Drosophila melanogaster: one gene and its partners. The protein of the gene in region 1 interacts with the protein of each later gene in a pairwise test. Each region holds a gene or a part of one and is shown in the gene's direction. Other genes may lie near its edges.

Region 1 (6,458 bases):
TAATAAGGATAATTGCTTTCAACAATTATCTATAAATAATTTGAAACATTTTTTAGAATTGGCGACCAGCCATGCAAATGATTTGCTCCCCTTTTTCTGACTGATTTCACCATTTCCATAAACACAGGCGCCTCATATGCTAATTTTCCTTTGCGCAATCAAAAATTATACATCATTTTATACTACGCGCCTATCCATCCGGCTGTTTTCCCCCATTTCTCTCGTTTGTCATTAATCACGTTTAATATGCAATTCTATGCTGTAAAGAGGAAAATAATTGCAACAATAAAATAAATATAAACAACAGCGGGAGTGGCAACCCAAATCCGTTGTAATCTTCATATCCGGAGTGTCGTTGTCTGTGAATTCTGCAATTGGACTCTCCAGTTACACATTTTCCCCTCGGGGATCACTTTTTGCATCATCATTATGGATGGATGGAGCCTCTTTATAGAGAGTTTCTGTATAATGTGGAGTTCGTTTTTTAGTGGGGGGTTGGTTTGGTATATAGGAAGTGCGGGTTAAACGGGAGTCTGCCACTCAGTCACTTCCTTGTTTGACATTTTAATTGCAATGTTGATGGATTTCACTGTTGACACTTTCCTTTTTCACCCCATTAATGAATAATGAACGTTTAGTCTGCAAATTTACTAGCTAGCCAGGCCGCAAAGTTAAATTTGCCTTTCGTGCATACATACAGATATAGTAAATTAACAATAAGATTCCTAAAAGAACATTTTACTTAACAATTATGAAATACTTTCGGTTAAATGCCCTTTTAGCTTTCCCACTGATTTCTTTTGTGTTTCGGACCGTAGTAAATTGTCTGTAAAAAGTCGTGGCCAAGTTAAGTATCATAACTAGAACGTCTTCCGTTCAACACCTCATTAGGCGAACTTTTCAACAGAGGCCGAAAACGACTTTTAATTGTGCCCACTGGACATACACAACCCCTGAAATTTTTTTCTGGCGGGAAGCACAATTGTCCAGAGGGTGAACATGATAAATGCCTTAAATAATGTTCTTTTGCCACCAGAAAATATCCAAGACATGACCAAACTCTAGTGGAGCAATTAAGTGCCAGACCAACTGAAAATGTCATTTAACATTTGTCAGGTAAAAATAAAAGTAAAGCACTCAAATAAAAAACAGCAACAAGTTGCAGACTAATTAAATAATTGAAACATTTTACGTGGGAGTCGCAAAGACACAATGACAAAGAACTAAATGTGTGTGCAAACGAAAAGCCAAACAAATAAAGACATAAGAAAAACGATTCTACAATGTCGCAATTCGACTATGCCTGCTATACGGTGCCCGAGTGTTCCACGGATGATGATGATGATAATGACGATGAGCTGGGCAGTAATGTGACCCTGGAGAACAAGGATCATTCGGATTGCACCCTGGAATCGGATGCTACGACCACCACATCTTCACTGGAGCGTCATATGTATAGGAATCGGTATCGCTCTAATAGAAGTTTCGGACCACAGAGGGTTTCCATGCCCATTCTCAGATCCAGTCGATCCAGGGAGATGACGCCCCAGTTGGGCATGTATCATGAGGGACCGAATCGAGATCCCCAATGGGGTTACTTTGTACCCCTGTCGCCCAACTTCTTCTTTAGTCCACCGATGCAGAGGAGGCGTTATAGGTAGATTTACATTGTGTTTAGTACTTAAAACATATTTAGTTCTATTATTATCAAGTAAAACATACATTGAAAATTCTAATAAATTAAATTTAAATTTCCTTTCAGGGAAAAGGAAAACGATCGCAATCGTCGCGCTGTTAGTTATGGCGGTGACGCCACCTCCTCCCCCCATTCGGCCACCATACCCCGCGCCGCCCCCCGTCGGGTGGCCTTGATGAAGGATCCACCGCCACCGCCGCCACCCAAGCCGCAATTGGGTTCCAAAGCGGATTCTGTATCGCATTTGGCCAGCAAATATCCCCAATCCGAGTACAATCTCATACAGAAAATCGACTCGAACAGCACACTCACTGCTCCGGCGCAATATCAACCGCAGAATTTCTACGCTAATACTGGCACCATATCCTCTACGAATGGCTACGGATCGCTGTTATGTCACGCCAGTTCGACGACCAGTCCGCTGGCGGTCCGGAAGAGGGACAAACTGCTTCATCGCTTCAGCGATGCCGCCACCTTGGGCCGGAAGCTCAAGAAGAAGAAGAACACGAATCGCACCTGCAGATCCATGACGGAGGCCATTGAGATGCTGGCCGATCCCGTCATCGAAGATGAATTCTTTGTAAGTACAATGATTTATGCAAAGAAAATATACGTATTTCCATGGAATTAGAAACATAAAAATCTTTTGGAGCCTCTTAAAACAAAATAGAGTTTCTCAAACCATTTTTTGTCATAACATCATAGAACTTGATTGATATGTATTAAATATTTGGGTGTGGTTTTAAAATAGCTCGAGGTTCATCGTTCAAACCTTTTCATTCTTGGTTTTTTCCCCCAAACATCTGCCCCATTTCACAATTTACGCTTTTAAGGGGTGTATTTGTTTGGCTTAAGCCCCTCATTTCGTCTCATTTCACTTGGGCTCTGCTCAGCTCAGTCCAAGCTTTATCGCAATCACTTTTGTTCTTGTATTCTTCTCCGGCTGGAAACGCTATCCATTGGAAAATGTTCTCGTGTCCGATAGGCTCTTCAAATTCATTGAATTCATTTCAGTTTAGTTCGTATTTGAGCCTCGTCGCGATTGAAACGAAAAGAAATCCACACCAAAAATAAACGATTTTCGTAGGCGGAAGTGTTAGAAAGACAAACCTCAAACAGATAAGGTGGAAATAATAGGAAGTTGACAGATTGAAACTGAGAAGGGCCATTGAATTAAGTGGAGTGACAGAAGTGATAAAAGAAAGGGAAAATTTGAATATATTAAACAAGAAAAATGTGCACTTAGACAGAGGGATTTATATTTGGCCACATCTTTTCCACTTAGTTTTTAACTATAAATTTGGATATTATATTTATGATCCCTGTAAGATAACCTTGAAAGTATTTTCCGACGGCTGAACTCAATTCGCAATCATTAAGTGAAAAAGGGGCGTCAATAATACTATCAAAAGTTCAATAGACCGCACATTCATTGACCCAATCGGGGTACCTTTGAGTTTTTGCAATGTTTTGAGCTTGTAAATTGGTATTGGGGTCGATCAGGGCTAAGCCACAATTATTTGCCAAATCAGTCTTTAATTAACGAACTCAGAGTTGACAGATTAGCATGGCTCTCTTTCTCTCTATTCTCCATTCTGTCTCATCCATATGACAGCTCGGTTGACAGTTCAGGAAGACGAATGTGTCTAACAAAACAAGTGACTCGCAAACTGTGTCAATACTTTGGGTTCGAAAAACAATTTACCTTGCGCAAAGACGACGGCTCGAAAGGTGAACCCCGGCTAATTGGATTGGCAGTGCGTGCCTTCCAGCAAACAACAGAAAAGCAGAAAAAGTTGTTGCAATAAAATCAAACAATTGCAGTGGAAAATCGAACGTGCAGTGTGCCGAACGTGTTGGTCGCGTAAAACCCTTAAAAAATCGGTTATTTTCAATATAGTTTATAGGGTTTATCTCTTTTTTATTGGCCTCTCTCAGGCGTTTTTAAAAACACAAATGTTGCCTGCTTTTGTGCGCTGTTAAACAAGAACGCCATGAAAAATAATTCAACCATATCTATAGCATACTTTTACGCGGTCGAAAATTACATTTGAAAAAGAACAAAAAGTCTCTAAATTAACTCAACACCCTTGAAACACTAATCTGGTTTTATTTTTTTTTTTTTTATATATTTCCAAAGGAAAAAAATATAATTTTGCGTGATCTAATTTTACATGTAATCATAAAACATTCTATCGTCAGTCTAAAGACAGTGTAGATTTTATGTAAAATTAGCCAAGTGAACCTTAAAATTTTTGTTGTTTTTGTTGATTTATTTTATGGTTTTAGTTTGCAACAAATTGAATTTTTTAAAGAACAAAACATAAGTTTCTCACAAAAAAAAAATAATACTTTGGTTTCGACCGTGACAGGACTCGAACCTGCAATCTTCGGATCCGAAGTCCGACGCCTTATCCATTAGGCCACACGGTCGCTTGTTCCAAGCACGCTTAAACTCGAAAACATTTGATACGTGTGCAAGCAACCTACAGCACAAGGGTGGATTTTCTGTAGAGCAAACATTCTGTTATCGCGGGGTGCAAATACAAACGAACAAAAACGAAAATTAAATACAACAAAAATATGAAGCCCAGCACGCGACGTCGCAGTTTCAAAACGAAACCCCCCAAATCGAATGTATATAACCCACTCGTTCGCTATCGCCCGACAGCCTATGTCCGAAATGGAATTATTGGCGGCGCCGAGGGTCCCGGCTCGAGTGGAGTGTACCAAATCGCGGATAGGGTCTATACCACCAGCAAGATGTTTCTACGCGATGGCTATATGTACCCGCGTCAACCGGGTCAGACCATGGATCCCCGTTTCCCCCTCGAGTTGCACGAATTCCCTCAGCAATTCGGCGCCACTGGCCTGCAGTTGGTTAGTGCACCCAAGGTTCATATAGCCGGCGAATATCTGGCCAGTGAACAACAGCAGCAGCAGCAACAACAGCAGCAGCAGCATCAACAGGTGCAGGAGCAACAACAATTGGGCAGAAGAAAGGCTGCGGCAGCCGCCGAAATAAATTTGGCAAATCAGGTTTACTGGCTGGGCAAGCAAAAGACCAGATCCCGATCGCGTAGCAATAGTGTGGGCAATCGGAGCATAACCAGCTGCATGGGCGGCGGTGGAGGGGGTGGCGAAAAGGAAAGGGAACGCGGCGGGGATCGAGATCGCCCCTATATACGCAACGTTGACGATCTTCTCCAGGCACTGGGCAAAAGGGATGGGGGGGATAACAACAGCAATCTGCTCGAAACTGCATCGACGCACTCCTCATCGCAGCGAAGGCGCTTCAAGAAGGTGAGATACAGACTTACAAAGTGTGATAAATGCAACCAAATGCCCTCAAATCTCATTTTCATAAAATAAATAAAAAAAATTCTGGATACAAAAGAAAAAAGTTAATTTTACGACCGTGACAGGACTCGAACCTGCAATCTTCGGATCCGAAGTCCGACGCCTTATCCATTAGGCCACACGGTCAGTTGGCAACTCTGAAAAATATGACTAACATAAAGACGGGCTTTACAAATAATTTAGTTCACCGTTAACAGTTGCTAAATCGTTTTTTATCCGAATACCTCATTTGAGATTATAAATCTAGAACTCTACGTTAAAAACAGTAAATATAAAAATCTTTATGACAGGACTTAAAGTTGGTTATTTTACCCCTCAGATAGAATATATATATTTAAGGGAAATTCCTTGATTTCCTAATATTAAAATTCTTTACGCCATTGAATACCACCACCTCAGCCATCAATCACCGCATTGCATTGCTCTTGGGCAACATCGAAATTTGTCAACTCGCGTTGCAACACTTTCAATTGTCGCTGTGGCACCTTTTTTTTCCATTTGGCCACCTTAATTACATTCGTGGATGTATGTATGGAGGTAGTGTGGCTCGTTCCGCCAGGTCATCATCAGTCATCACTCGTGGCTTGTCTGCAGTGTCCAGAATGGAGGCAGTGAAGCCTACCGCCCCTGGGGTGCGTCTGCGCAAAAATTAAAATTAATGATGTTCAAAATTTCGCTTGGGGCCATTAATGGAAATGGGATGAAGAAATAAACGAGGTGAGAGATTGGCAAAGGCGAAATGGAGATGAAAGGAAGGGGAGAGCTGGTGGTCAGACGGTAGCTGCTAATTTGGCATCCTCGAACACACCTGCCCCCAAAATGATATTCACTGCGGCCTTTCAATTTCTCAAAAAGTTTCAAAGTCAAAGCTCGGCTGCGGTTCCTTTTACCTCTTTCATTTCAGGCCCTTTTTCTTTTGCTGACCATTTTATGCATTTTTAGCCGCTGCTGCTCAGGCTTCCATGACGATATAGACTTTTTTTGTCGGTTTGATTTTATTCTTTTGTTTTTCTGTTTCGTTTACGCTATCGTCATTAGTGGATATATATATATGTATATAGTTTTTGTTTTAGCTTAATTCCACATTCGCCTGGGGCACAATTTATGCGCTTCTGTTTCGAATCCAGATTCGGGCTCTGAGGAGCACTTGAGTTTGAGAAATTGGTTTCGTTGATTGTGCCTTTAAACATGGTCAAAACGGTGGGCGAATGTTATTAAGAAGAGTACTTACAAAATAGTTGAAAAGCTAACAAAAAAATCATAAAATATTTTATAATTTTATGTAGATAGAAAATTGAATACAAAATTTAAGTAATTTTTGGTTCATAAACAATTTTCAATCCACACAAACCCAATGTACTTCGCCTCCGCCCATGACTCAACTTCCGACGTGTGTATAAAT
Region 2 (5,576 bases), on another chromosome or scaffold:
CCCATAGCTCGAGGCTGCCGTCTGCTTGTAAAATCCATCTCCGTTGCTGACGATATCTATGGGTTTGCTGCTGCCCAACGACAAACCAGTTGCCTCGCCGCTATCTCCGCTGCTGCTGCAGTAACTCTCCCGGGTGTTGCTCACGTAGGAGCCCAGTTTCACCTCGACCTTCGGCGGTATCATGTTGCCAAAAAAGGCGGCCACGCTGTTGGGAGTCGTTGATATCTGCGGCTGCTGCTGAGCGCTGGACGCACGGGATGTTTGTGGTGTTCTGGATGACGAAACAAATATAAAAGTTAGATGAAACCTATTTTAAATACGACGCTCAGTTGGCACAAGACCTATCTGAAACGACTGTTGCTTTTTATCAGTAATAAAGGTAATTTACTCATTTCGTATCTCAAGGTTGGTAAGTTTAAACATAAAGATGGCTTCAAAATGAAATGAAATAAACACAATCGTGCTGACTGCAAAAATCTTCATACTTTTTTTTTTTATAAAGAGCTAACAATTAATTTAAATTATTGGCATTGCACAATCGTTTAATGGGCCATATTACCTAAGGGTGCCATTTGAGCCGTTGGTCTCGATTAGCTTCAGCTGATGCATCTTATCGCTTAGCGCCGAATTGAAGTTGCCACGTGGGCCCGAAGAACTCGATGCTCCGCCAGCCGCTACCCGTCCATTGTCGTTGGCCCTTGACCGCGGCGTCGATGGCAGATCCTGTTCTCGTTCCTGCTCCTGGAACTGCTGTTTCTGTTGCTGCTGGAGTTGTAGCTGCTGCTGCTGCTGCTGGAGTTGGAGCTGCTGCTGCTTGCCCAGGATGTTGGAGAAGTGGGGCAGCTTGACGGGCGTGGGCTTGTTGACCACTGGCGGCGGCGCCGTGTGCCCATCCAGATCTTGCTTTGCGGGCTCGATGAGATCGATGCTGCGAATGTCCGTGCACTTGAGGACCACCTCGGCGTTCTGCTTTCGCAGCGGCACGCCATTGCGGAAAGCCCTCACAATGGTGATCTCCTCGGCAGAAATCTGCTTGATCAGGCCCTGGAAGACGCCCAGGACCTCGTCGCAGGCTATAGACACTGCACAGCCGATCCAGTCTTGATCCGTCGGACCCATGTAATCAGTTTTCGATACTCCCTTTGCGAATGCGACAACACGTTGGATCGGCTTGTTCTGCCCTGGCTAATGGTTGTTCGAAATGTTTGCTGGCCCGCGCAGAGCTGCTTGTTGTTTTCGTTTCTAATACGCAATTTCGCCACTAACTAACTACGCACCACGCACCTCTCTTCCTCTTCTTCCTGCTGCTGCACCGCCGTTGATTCTAGTGTTTTGTGGCTTAAAGTCGGGTGTTTTTGAATTATTTGGCTCTGCGGTCAAGGGGTTCGGTATTTTGTCTCTTTTAATCAATAAATGCACCAACCGTTGCAACACATTGACGCTAAAACTTATTGGATTTCTCGTTTCATTGGGATTTTCACTGCTTGCGTGTGGCCGTTCGTTGGTGTTCAGATAATACCGAACAATACCCAAACTAGCTGCGTGGCAAATTAGTTTACTTAATAAATTTATAATAATATACATATTTATAATAACTACAAATTTCATGCTTTACGGAAACTTCACCTTATTTTGATAAATATTTGGTTCAATAAAAGCCTGCGAGCCATTTTATGAATTTAACAAGTGCTTCCCTTAACTGTTAAGGCTTCTGGGTGCTGTGGTATGTTCTCAGTGCGCGTACACGGTCACTCTGGCAGTTTTGTTCTCGATTTTGTCGCCGTTTTGTGCATTTTTCCCGTCCGGTGTTTAAATTTTATTTAATACTGCGCGTGCGACATATATACAGGCACCTATAGCCGACCGATATCGGCGATTAAGGCATGTGCGCCGCCGAAGCGGTCAAAGTGATAATCGCTTGAATAGTGAGCAGTGTAGAATTTGCCGTGTGATAGAAGTACGTGATGATTTTCCGCAAATAGTGGATAAAGGCGAGCCCACACGCATACCACCGCAAAATATATACATAAATCGGGCGAAAATATAGTGGCCCGTGTTTGTGCGTGTGTAAACGTAAGTGGAAAACTTGGGCGAAACTTTATGCTAACCATAAATGGTCTACAAAGACATGGCTTCGCGCCTGGCTAATTATCAAGAAAATGTTTGGCTTTTGTGCTCTATCACCCACACCTCATTCACACAACACACACACTAGAAACACGCTTGCACGGGGGCAGGGCGGCAGACAGAGATGGCATCTAGCACAAGTACCGTTGTTCACTTTGTTTGCTGTCTTTGTTGTCTGTTCGCTTTTCTTTCCTTCGCTTCTGTACACCCTTCCCCCTCTTGTTACCTTATGGCAGCCTCCTCTTCTTCTTCTTCGTGTCATTTATCGCTTAATTTGCACTTCCGCTTTGCACATATTCACCCTCTCTCCTTCCGTCATTCTTTCATTGCAGAAGCTTCTCTAAAAGAAACAAACAACAACAACACAACAATGTCGGCACGTTCCAGCGGCTTGGTGGCCGCGGCGGCCCTTCCCGTCCCGTCGTCTTCTTCCTCGGTGGCCGGCGGCGACGTGCCACGCCCGCCGCCCCGCCGGCGAGCGGCCTCTGTTGCGGGACAACAGCAAACGCGCCAGGAATTTGGAAATGGTTACACTCCTCGCAGATCGTTGGCAGCAGTGGTAAGTTTACATAAGTGCAGGTGACGACGAAAAGAGAGAGCTTTACCTTGAAGGACAACTTAGGAACTCTTCTAACATCTTAGGAATTTTGTAGGAGCACCTTATGGTTACAACCTTATTTCACAACGCATCCAACTCTGATTGAAAAATTTCATTCCATTTTTGATAAAGCCAGTTAACTAATTATGGGTTATATAAACGCGTATGTATCAAATTAAGTTATCATAACACCAAATAGTGACCGTGGCACCTATATGTTTATCAATTTTTAATAGATAGTAAGGTATTACTTACTATGACATCTTATAAGATACTCTTATCAATTGTTTTGGTTTCGTTGCAAACTGACTAATCAATAAATGTATCTCATTTTAAAGGGCATACCGAAATGTTGTCTTATCAAAACTAAGCCAACCAATTCCTATAACCTTTTATAAGGAATTGCCCACAATGTATCCACCATTTTGTTGGTGTGAAGATTTGAAAAGTATTTATCAACGGGTGGTGCTGGGGGATTTGGTCGCCCTTATCAGTGCCTCCGCTGTATTTAGTGTTTCCATTTTTACGATGTTTTCACTACTAATCTAATCTGCAGATTGCCAAACAGCTGAGTCGTGTAGATGGGCCATGTAGATTTCACTCCCCTCATGGATGATAAAGTGGGATATATGTATGGTGGGAAAAGTAGGGGATCTACAATTCCTTCAGAAGCCGAAAAGCACGAAAAACTTACGAACTGTTCTTATCCAATACCTAGCTTTTACGGTGTAAAGGTCGTTGCATTTCGTCAACCATTAAGTTAGATGTAGTTGTATTTCAGGAGTGACTTCCATAAGTCTTTTTTTAGGAGGGCCTTTAATACAGCACATTACATTTTATCGTTTAGTCATTGTTTGCTTGTACCAATTACTTTATAATGTTAAAGAAAAAGTAGCTTTTTTGCGGATTTTTTAAAATCGAATAACATTTCTTGACTTGCACTTTCCGAAGAGCAGAAAAGTGCCAAGAAAAGTATTAGGAAGCCGCCAGAAAATAAACTGGCATCATCGTTGTTTACTTAGTGTCTGGAATGGGCTTTTCTATTGTTTTGCTCACTTGTATAAACAAATAATTCGCTCGCCATCTCAGGCCGAACGGAAACTAAACTAATTTATTTATCTTAATTTGCCAAAGATGCTAGCCACTTGAGCAGTCATCGGCATCTTCGAAGCTAATTTAATTTATCAACACAATTCTTGGCCGCCGCCTCTTGAATGTTGTGTGTCTACACTTTATGGTTTTCTGGCTGCACAGAGAGAAAAATATTGTTTTAACTTTTAATACCTAGGCTATGTTTAATGGTTTATAAAAGTATTTTAATTTCTAACAGAACTCGCAGAATTATATTATTCATAGTTTCTAAACGTATTATGAACTGACATTTTGTTTTGTGTTTCTTTTACTTTCTTTTTTAGTATCCCAGTGTTGGTTGTTTGCTCTGTTTGCTTTCACTCAATGAGCGATTATTTGACGGCACTTCAATTCTGTTTGTCGAACTCATTGAAGCGTTGTCAGAATGGCTCGAAATTCCTGTCCAAAAAGTGGGAGGTGTATGAATGAATGGCTTATCTTCATTAGTGCTTTTTTTGCCGCAAAAGTTGTATGCCCCCGCTAATTGAGCTCTGTTATTTGGGTTATTTAATCCAATTTGCACGTCAGCCGGCAAGCGGTGACGTCGGCCAATCGACGCACTTGTAAGAACAGTCGACGTCACAATTGCCTTAGCGGATAGCCTTAATGGGCCGCTTATCAGTCAACAGCTGGTCAATTACATCCATTGAATCCATTGCGTCAGCAGTCAGAACATTCTCATGTCTATTATAAGTGATTATACGCTATTTAGCTGAACATTATTAATGGAATTGGAGGGATTCCCAGCCCAAAATACAAATTTCACACAGATACGCACGCACACATAGATAGTCCACTCACATCAACGCACGGCGCAGCCGATCAGCTGTTTTTGTTTTGTTTTGCTTAAAGACACTTGTTCGATGGCAGCTGTCAACAGTGGGAGTGAGAAAACGCGAGAGGAAGACAAAAAGAGTACAGGGCTAAGCTGTCATTTTAAAAAGCTTTCAGCCAACAGCTTGTAGCTGGGGCTTCAGTGTTGAAAAATGTGTTCAGTACTGTTTTGGTATTTTTTTTTTAAGATTAAAAACTTTCCTTTTTATGGTTAATTGGAGCACTTTTTGTGACAATTCATTAAAATATCTATGCATGAGTATTGCAAGTCCACTTCGTATTTTGCTTTTTAATATATTAATATTAGAATTTTTCCCGGAGAAGCCGACCATGAGGTAAATAATTTACTCCGTTCCATCGGTCACACTAGACCCAATGAAAGCTCCGCAATGGGGCAACCTCTTGGCCCGAACGCGCTGGCCACACTTTTCAGTGGAGCTGCCTTCATTTTAGCTTAGAACGCGAAAGCGCCAAGTTCCGTGTTTTGCGCTGCGGCTGCCGACAAGTGTTGCTGTTGCTGTTGCGCTCGCACCCACGACCGCACACACACTCGCTGCGGGAGCGAGCGAGAGAGGCAGACATTTACGCAGAACATGTTTTCGCAATAGTGTTGGTGTGCCGTTTGTTATTGTTGTTATTGTTTCCATCGTTTAGGGCCGTTAATAAAAGATAAATAAGTGAATAATTGAATTATAAATATTGTAGAGTGTACCGCCACACACACACAAATCGCTGGATTATATAGATAAATTTATTGCACAGTACCCCTGAAATGTGTTAATTATATAAAAAAAAAAGCAGTAAATAAGCGTACGTACCGTAAAGCAACAGTTCTCGCTCGGCACAATCGAGAAATCTCGAAATCACATCAAATGCAGAAGCATTT
Region 3 (5,860 bases), about 12 Mb from region 1:
GCACTCAGTGATTCACCAGATTTGTGACGTCAATTTTAAGCTCTGAGCACGACTTTAAAAAAGAGATATTATAATATAGGTGTAAAAACTGGAATAGCTCGTGACCATGTGTGAAAAACTCCATAAACAAAAGCTTTTGCCAACTTCTTTTGGAGACCTCGATGGACTGTACCTCGAAATGTTTCAAAAATGTTTTGCAAATGCACTGAGCAATTCACTTAGTAATAAACCTTGATGACACACCTATTCTACTATAATTGCACGGCCTCGAGTACACTACTACTATATTTTGTGGACGGTGGAATGTGGCCACATCCGATTCCGGTGAGTAATGCTGAGCAAGGCACAGGCGCTCATACACAGTGCTTACTGTAGTTTGAAGTGCCTGTCGGGCAATTGAAGTTGATTGAATTACTAAATTAAGCAGGGCACTGGGGGATAGAGATATTTCGAAAAATTCCGCTTCTCATTCCTACGTAAAATGGGAAAGCAAGAAAGGAACAGAAAAGTTTACTTAGATTTCGTCGGAGATGAGAAAAGTCACACGCGTCGCGAGAGAAAACGCCAAAAGAGTGGGGCTTTTGCTTTTGAGTTTGATGATGTCATCTTTCGGTTTTGAATTTTTCTCCCACCCGAGGCTTTTATTATTGAAATATAAAGTAAATAGAGAAACAAGATTCTGGAGAATTCTCGCGATACCGCACCCACAACTAGAATTCTACAAAATGCCCATTTTGGAATGGCACAAATGAAAATTATCTTTGAGTGTTTAGCACACACTTTCTTTTCTCACTTTTCCGACTGATTTTCCGCTTGATTTTTTGCGATTTCTGGCACAGCGAGAGTAAACAATGAGTTTTATCTACAAATTCCTTTTGATTTACCAATGATATTCGATTTTCAACGTACAAGTCAGACGATGCGAACTGCAAGCGATGTGAATAAATACCATAGCTGTTTGCGCTCCGTCTTTGGCTTTTATACTCGCGCTCTCTCGCTGGAAGTCGATTAGAGATGAACCAACCGGCGATAGGTTGTTGTTGCTAGGAAATATTCGGTGGTAGCGCCTAACTGGAAGCTGGTATCTTCTGCGTCGTCATAGTATACACCGTAGAATCTAAAGTGTTCCGAGATGGATGAATCATCGGCATTGGAAGCTGTTGAGACATTCATGATATTTCCGTTGTGATAATGACGACATTGGGAAAATAAGATCTGATTACGCATTGAATTTCAAAATGTAACCTTTGACTTCAATATTCAGCCGTTAGGGCAATACAGTTAAATAAATATCCTGTTCCTTCCTAAGCCGTTTTATAACTATTTTTATTTGTATTTTTATAACTATATATAAAAACCAATTACGTTAATTGTCAGCCGACATCGAAGCAAATTCAAATCCAAAACTATCGATATATCGATGATATGTTTGCGGTTATATGAAAAAAGTCAACTCTTATACCTGTTAATTACCGTTCTGGCAGAATCTTATTAATTATACAAATTACTATGGCGCCACTTGGTATAACATCAAATACCTTTTGCCCGAGCACTCAGTTCTATTGATCACGATCACATATATTGGTACTGCAGTATATATCGGTGCATTGACTTATCGAATAAAGTAAAAGAACCACGACTGTATCTCTTAATCATTTAAATTGGGCGCCCCTAAAACTGCAGCAACTACCTTTTGTCAAGCTCATCACAATAATTTATCGGCTTTTCGTAGCATATCGATGCATCCATTGTATCGAATGAAATTTAGTTCAGTTAGTTTCCCGTTTGTTGGTCTCTTTATGAATCAATTGTTTAACCCTTCTCCTCCCAGAAATTTGCAGACATCCCTAGCGGCATCAGATCATAAGTTCCTCTTGCAGTAGGAGTTAGTCATCGGGATGTGAGTATACATATGAACATAGAGCGCCAGTGGCATCTTGTTCCCGATCCGGCTTTGTCGGCCCCTCCCTTCTTCGGTGTTTTGTGACTTGTTATCTGGGCCACGAATCGGAAGCGGAGCCCCTGCAACTGAAAACCTGCCCCGACTACTCACACTCGTCATGGTGTTTATCTATCTACCCAGCAGATAAGGATAAGCGAGTAACCAGCGACCAGAAACCGGTAAAAAGAATGTGGAAGGCAAGTGCCGGTCACCAGATTCAGGCCACCAGTGCAGCCTCCGCGGAGGACGACGACTGGGAGACGGATCCGGACTTCGTGAACGATGTCAGTGAGCAGGAGCAGCGCTGGGGATCAAAGACGATCGACGGCAGCGGTCGCACAGCAGGCACCATCGAGTGAGTCATCCGAAATTCTCGAAACACTGGGTATCGGGTTCATTGTTCCCTTTCTTTATTCTTTTTAGCATGGACAAGCTGCGCGAGGAGACGGAGCAGGCCGATCTGGACAAGAAGAAGCAGCTGCTGAAGGATCAGAACGCAGGATACGGATACGGGGGCAAGTTTGGCGTTGAGAAGGACCGCATGGACAAGTCGGCTGTGGGTCATGACTACCAGGGCAAGGTGGGAAAGCACGCCTCGCAGAAGGACTACAGCGATGGTTTTGGGGGAAAGTTCGGAGTGCAAGAGGATCGCAAGGACAAGTCTGCCGTGGGCTGGGACCACGTCGAAAAGGTCGAGAAGCACGCCTCCCAGAAGGATTACGCCACCGGCTTCGGAGGCAAATTTGGAGTGCAGTCCGATCGGGTGGATAAATCCGCCGTGGGCTGGGATCACATCGAGAAGGTGGAGAAGCACGAGTCTCAGAAGGGTAAGTTACCTAACGGAAATGAATTTCTCATTGATTTTTTCTTAGTATGTTCATGTCTGATTATTTTATTTATATCTTCTCCCAACATAAGATTACTCCAAGGGCTTTGGCGGCAAGTTTGGCGTTCAGGAGGACCGAAAGGACAAGTCCGCGGTGGGATGGGACCACAAAGAGGCTCCGCAGAAGCACGCCAGCCAGGTGGACCACAAGGTCAAGCCAGTCATCGAAGGTGCCAAGCCTTCCAATTTGCGTGCCAAGTTCGAGAATCTGGCTAAAAACTCCGAGGAGGAGTCACGTAAGCGGGCCGAGGAACAGAAACGTCTCCGTGAGGCCAAGGACAAGCGGGATCGGGAGGAAGCCGCCAAGAAGACTGTGGCCGAGAACACTCCTCGTACCTCGACGGAAGCACCGCCTCCAAAGGGCAGCAGGGCGGCCATCCAGACAGGTCGGACCGGTGGCATTGGCAATGCTATCAGTGCATTTAACCAGATGCAGTCGCCTGTTTCTGAAACCCCTCCAGCACGAAAGGAACCCATTATCATTCCCAAGGCGCAGCCTGTTAAAATAGAATTAGAAGCAAAGGAGGAGCCAACGGCAAGTACAACATCAGCTGCGGTTGCTCCTACTCCGACAGTGGTCCCCGCTCGAGAGCCGGAAACAGCTCCAGTGGCCAAGGCTGCAGCTCCACCACCAGATGTGGTGCCCCAAATTGAGGTTGAGACCGTGGACACGCCTCCCAGAAGTGAGCCGCAATCACCAGTGTATGTGCCGACGCCTCAACCCGAAGTCCACGCCCAAGTCCAAGTCCAACCTGAGCCGCAACCTCAAGCCGATCCTGAGCCAGTAGTTGAAGAAGAGCCACTGTACCAGAACCAGGCCGAGATTAAGGCTGCCTCGCCCTTGCCACCAACGAATGGAACCGTTTCAGAGGCTGTTGCTCCGAGTGGCACCGCAACCGTTCCCGAGGAGGCAATCTACGCGAACTCAGACAATTTGGCCGACTATCTGGAGGACACCGGAATCCACGCCATTGCCCTGTACGACTACCAGGCGGCGGATGACGACGAGATATCCTTTGATCCAGATGACGTGATCACCCACATCGAGAAGATCGACGATGGGTGGTGGAGGGGATTGTGCAAGAACCGCTACGGACTCTTTCCAGCCAACTACGTGCAGGTGGTGGGACAGAACTCATAAAAGCTTCCAATTGAAATTCACGATAGAACAAAATCAAATTGTATTTACATACTAACGAAAACGATAATACTGATGTTGGATTATAAACCATATAAACCAATTCGCAACTAACCCAGCCCATTTCCCATCCATTGTTTACCCTCTTAACCCTCCAAATTATGTGCAACGAATGGCTAGATATTGAATTATTATTGTAATTTGTTATGCTAGCACTTAAAGTAACCGTGGTATTCCATTTTTGATATATGTATCATTTATTGCATTTTACATTCTTTGTATTTAACACATTTATTTTACCAAGAAAATATGCCAAGCTATTTTAGATATCTCTCATTTCATATTTTATGCATTAGTTATGATATTTGTGTCAAGTAACGATTTTGGTTTTTTTGAATTGTATAAAGTCTACGAGAGTTTCCCGTGTCAGGTGATCTGATCTAATGTTAAAGACGGATCTAATGTTGAAGACAGTCACAAACAAAAAGTCTGCTCTTTTGATAAAGAAATACATAATTAATAAAGTTAAATAATAACGAGTTCTCTCTTAAATTGTGGTACTGATAGTTCGGGTGTTTTTGTTTTTTTTTAAGGCCTAACAAATCATTTTACTAAGTAAAATGATTTCATTGGATACGGGAATTCACAAATTTCTATAAGAAGATAAGAACGAGCATATTGTTGGGTTCCTTCTAATATCACGAGGATATCTCTATTTTGGGGTAGAACTGTCAAGGCCTTTCTTGGATGGGCCGAATTCTTATCTGCCTGTTCCGAACGCATCGTAATCTGGCAAAGTAGAAATTGTTACATGAAACGAGCTACTGACATGATTCATGGTGCAAATGTGAGTGCATATGGGCTCAACAAAGAAAGAGTACTTTGCATTGTGGTGATTAATTAGTTAAAAAACATACATAAGTAGGATGTACGGCCATATTGTAAATTTGAGCGCCAATCCCAAAAAGACTTGATAAGATTTATCGCAATTATTGGCGACGGATCGTAATCGAAAAAAGTGTCAGACGAAATCAAAGTTTTGACTGATAAAGTTGATGTATAAATTAAACTTCAAGGAGGTATTACGATAAAGTGTGCGTGTTGGTAATAACGTAGATATTATTAACTAGTGATTGTAACTCAAAGGGTATGCAACTTAACTATGTATCCCGCATAACATTTCTAACGGTAACCTGCGGTCGATGTACAAACCGGTATTTCAAATGCATGTTCAAATCTTAGGCGGTATTTCTGGGGCCTTCAAAAATCCAAATCTCAGGCCTTATCAAAAAATCTCCCCTCAAAAAAAAGCAGTGGTCTTTCTCCCACGCACACACTCTCTCTCTCTCTCTTTCTGTCTTTCTTTTTCTCACTTGCCGACGCGAGAGAGAGATATTTTGAATAAATAGGGGCTACCGCAAAATGCTATAGTCAGTCACTCGATCGCGTGGGCTCAGAGTTAAAACTTCAGTTTGGCCGATAAGGTTAGTACTCTTGTCGAGTGTTGCCAGATTTCGGCAAGTCAAAGAAGAGAGAGTGGCCGCAGGTTGCCACATTGGGCACAGACGAAAAGACAGTGTGCATGTGAGAGGCGAGTGAGTGTGCGTGCAAAAGAAAGCAGCTGGTGGCAGAATCTCAAATATTGTGAGGAAAATTAATAAACAAAGAGCTGCGCTCACGGCTGAGCACAAATTGCCTGCACGCTCGTCAATTGTCGTTAACTAAGTCAGCAATTGGCAGCCAAACCGTCCGCTTCTTCGTCATTTCTCTGCTTCGTTTACTGCGACCATCACCACTCTTGTTTCGGCCGTACAACGTCACGGAATTCGTAAATTTCGTAAATTGCTCCGCGAGAAAAGCAGGAAAATGCATTTATAAGCTGCCACAAGTGCCG

What was found. Proteins that work in one complex are often made in the same cells at the same time.
Region 2: the proteins of pyd (region 1) and Nedd4 interact in a two-hybrid assay, tested with the Drosophila melanogaster proteins (one study listed by BioGRID).
Region 3: the proteins of pyd (region 1) and Cortactin interact in a two-hybrid assay, tested with the Drosophila melanogaster proteins (one study listed by BioGRID).

Annotation. Positions count from the first base shown.
Region 1 is NT_033777.3:8,860,604-8,867,061, reverse strand, and holds the start of pyd (polychaetoid), read left to right. Parts: upstream 1-2,713; 5' UTR 2,714-2,820; intron 2,821-3,528; exon of another isoform or gene 3,529-3,560; intron 3,561-4,056; exon of another isoform or gene 4,057-4,068; 5' UTR 4,069-4,279; coding exon 4,280-4,999; intron 5,000-5,109; exon of another isoform or gene 5,110-5,182; intron 5,183-6,458.
Region 2 is NT_037436.4:17,528,350-17,533,925, forward strand, and holds the start of Nedd4 (Nedd4), read left to right. Parts: upstream 1-1,731; 5' UTR 1,732-2,073; intron 2,074-2,459; 5' UTR 2,460-2,497; coding exon 2,498-2,686; intron 2,687-5,156; exon of another isoform or gene 5,157-5,299; intron 5,300-5,401; exon of another isoform or gene 5,402-5,500; intron 5,501-5,576. Other genes in the region: Edc3 (enhancer of decapping 3), read right to left, coding at 1-271, 560-1,119. UniProt on the Drosophila melanogaster protein: Essential E3 ubiquitin-protein ligase which accepts ubiquitin from an E2 ubiquitin-conjugating enzyme in the form of a thioester and then directly transfers the ubiquitin to targeted substrates.
Region 3 is NT_033777.3:21,060,335-21,066,194, reverse strand, and holds Cortactin (cortactin), read left to right. Parts: upstream 1-1,723; 5' UTR 1,724-1,772; exon of another isoform or gene 1,773-1,831; 5' UTR 1,832-1,900; intron 1,901-2,083; exon of another isoform or gene 2,084-2,086; 5' UTR 2,087-2,130; coding exon 2,131-2,297; intron 2,298-2,365; coding exon 2,366-2,769; intron 2,770-2,860; coding exon 2,861-3,969; 3' UTR 3,970-4,515; downstream 4,516-5,860.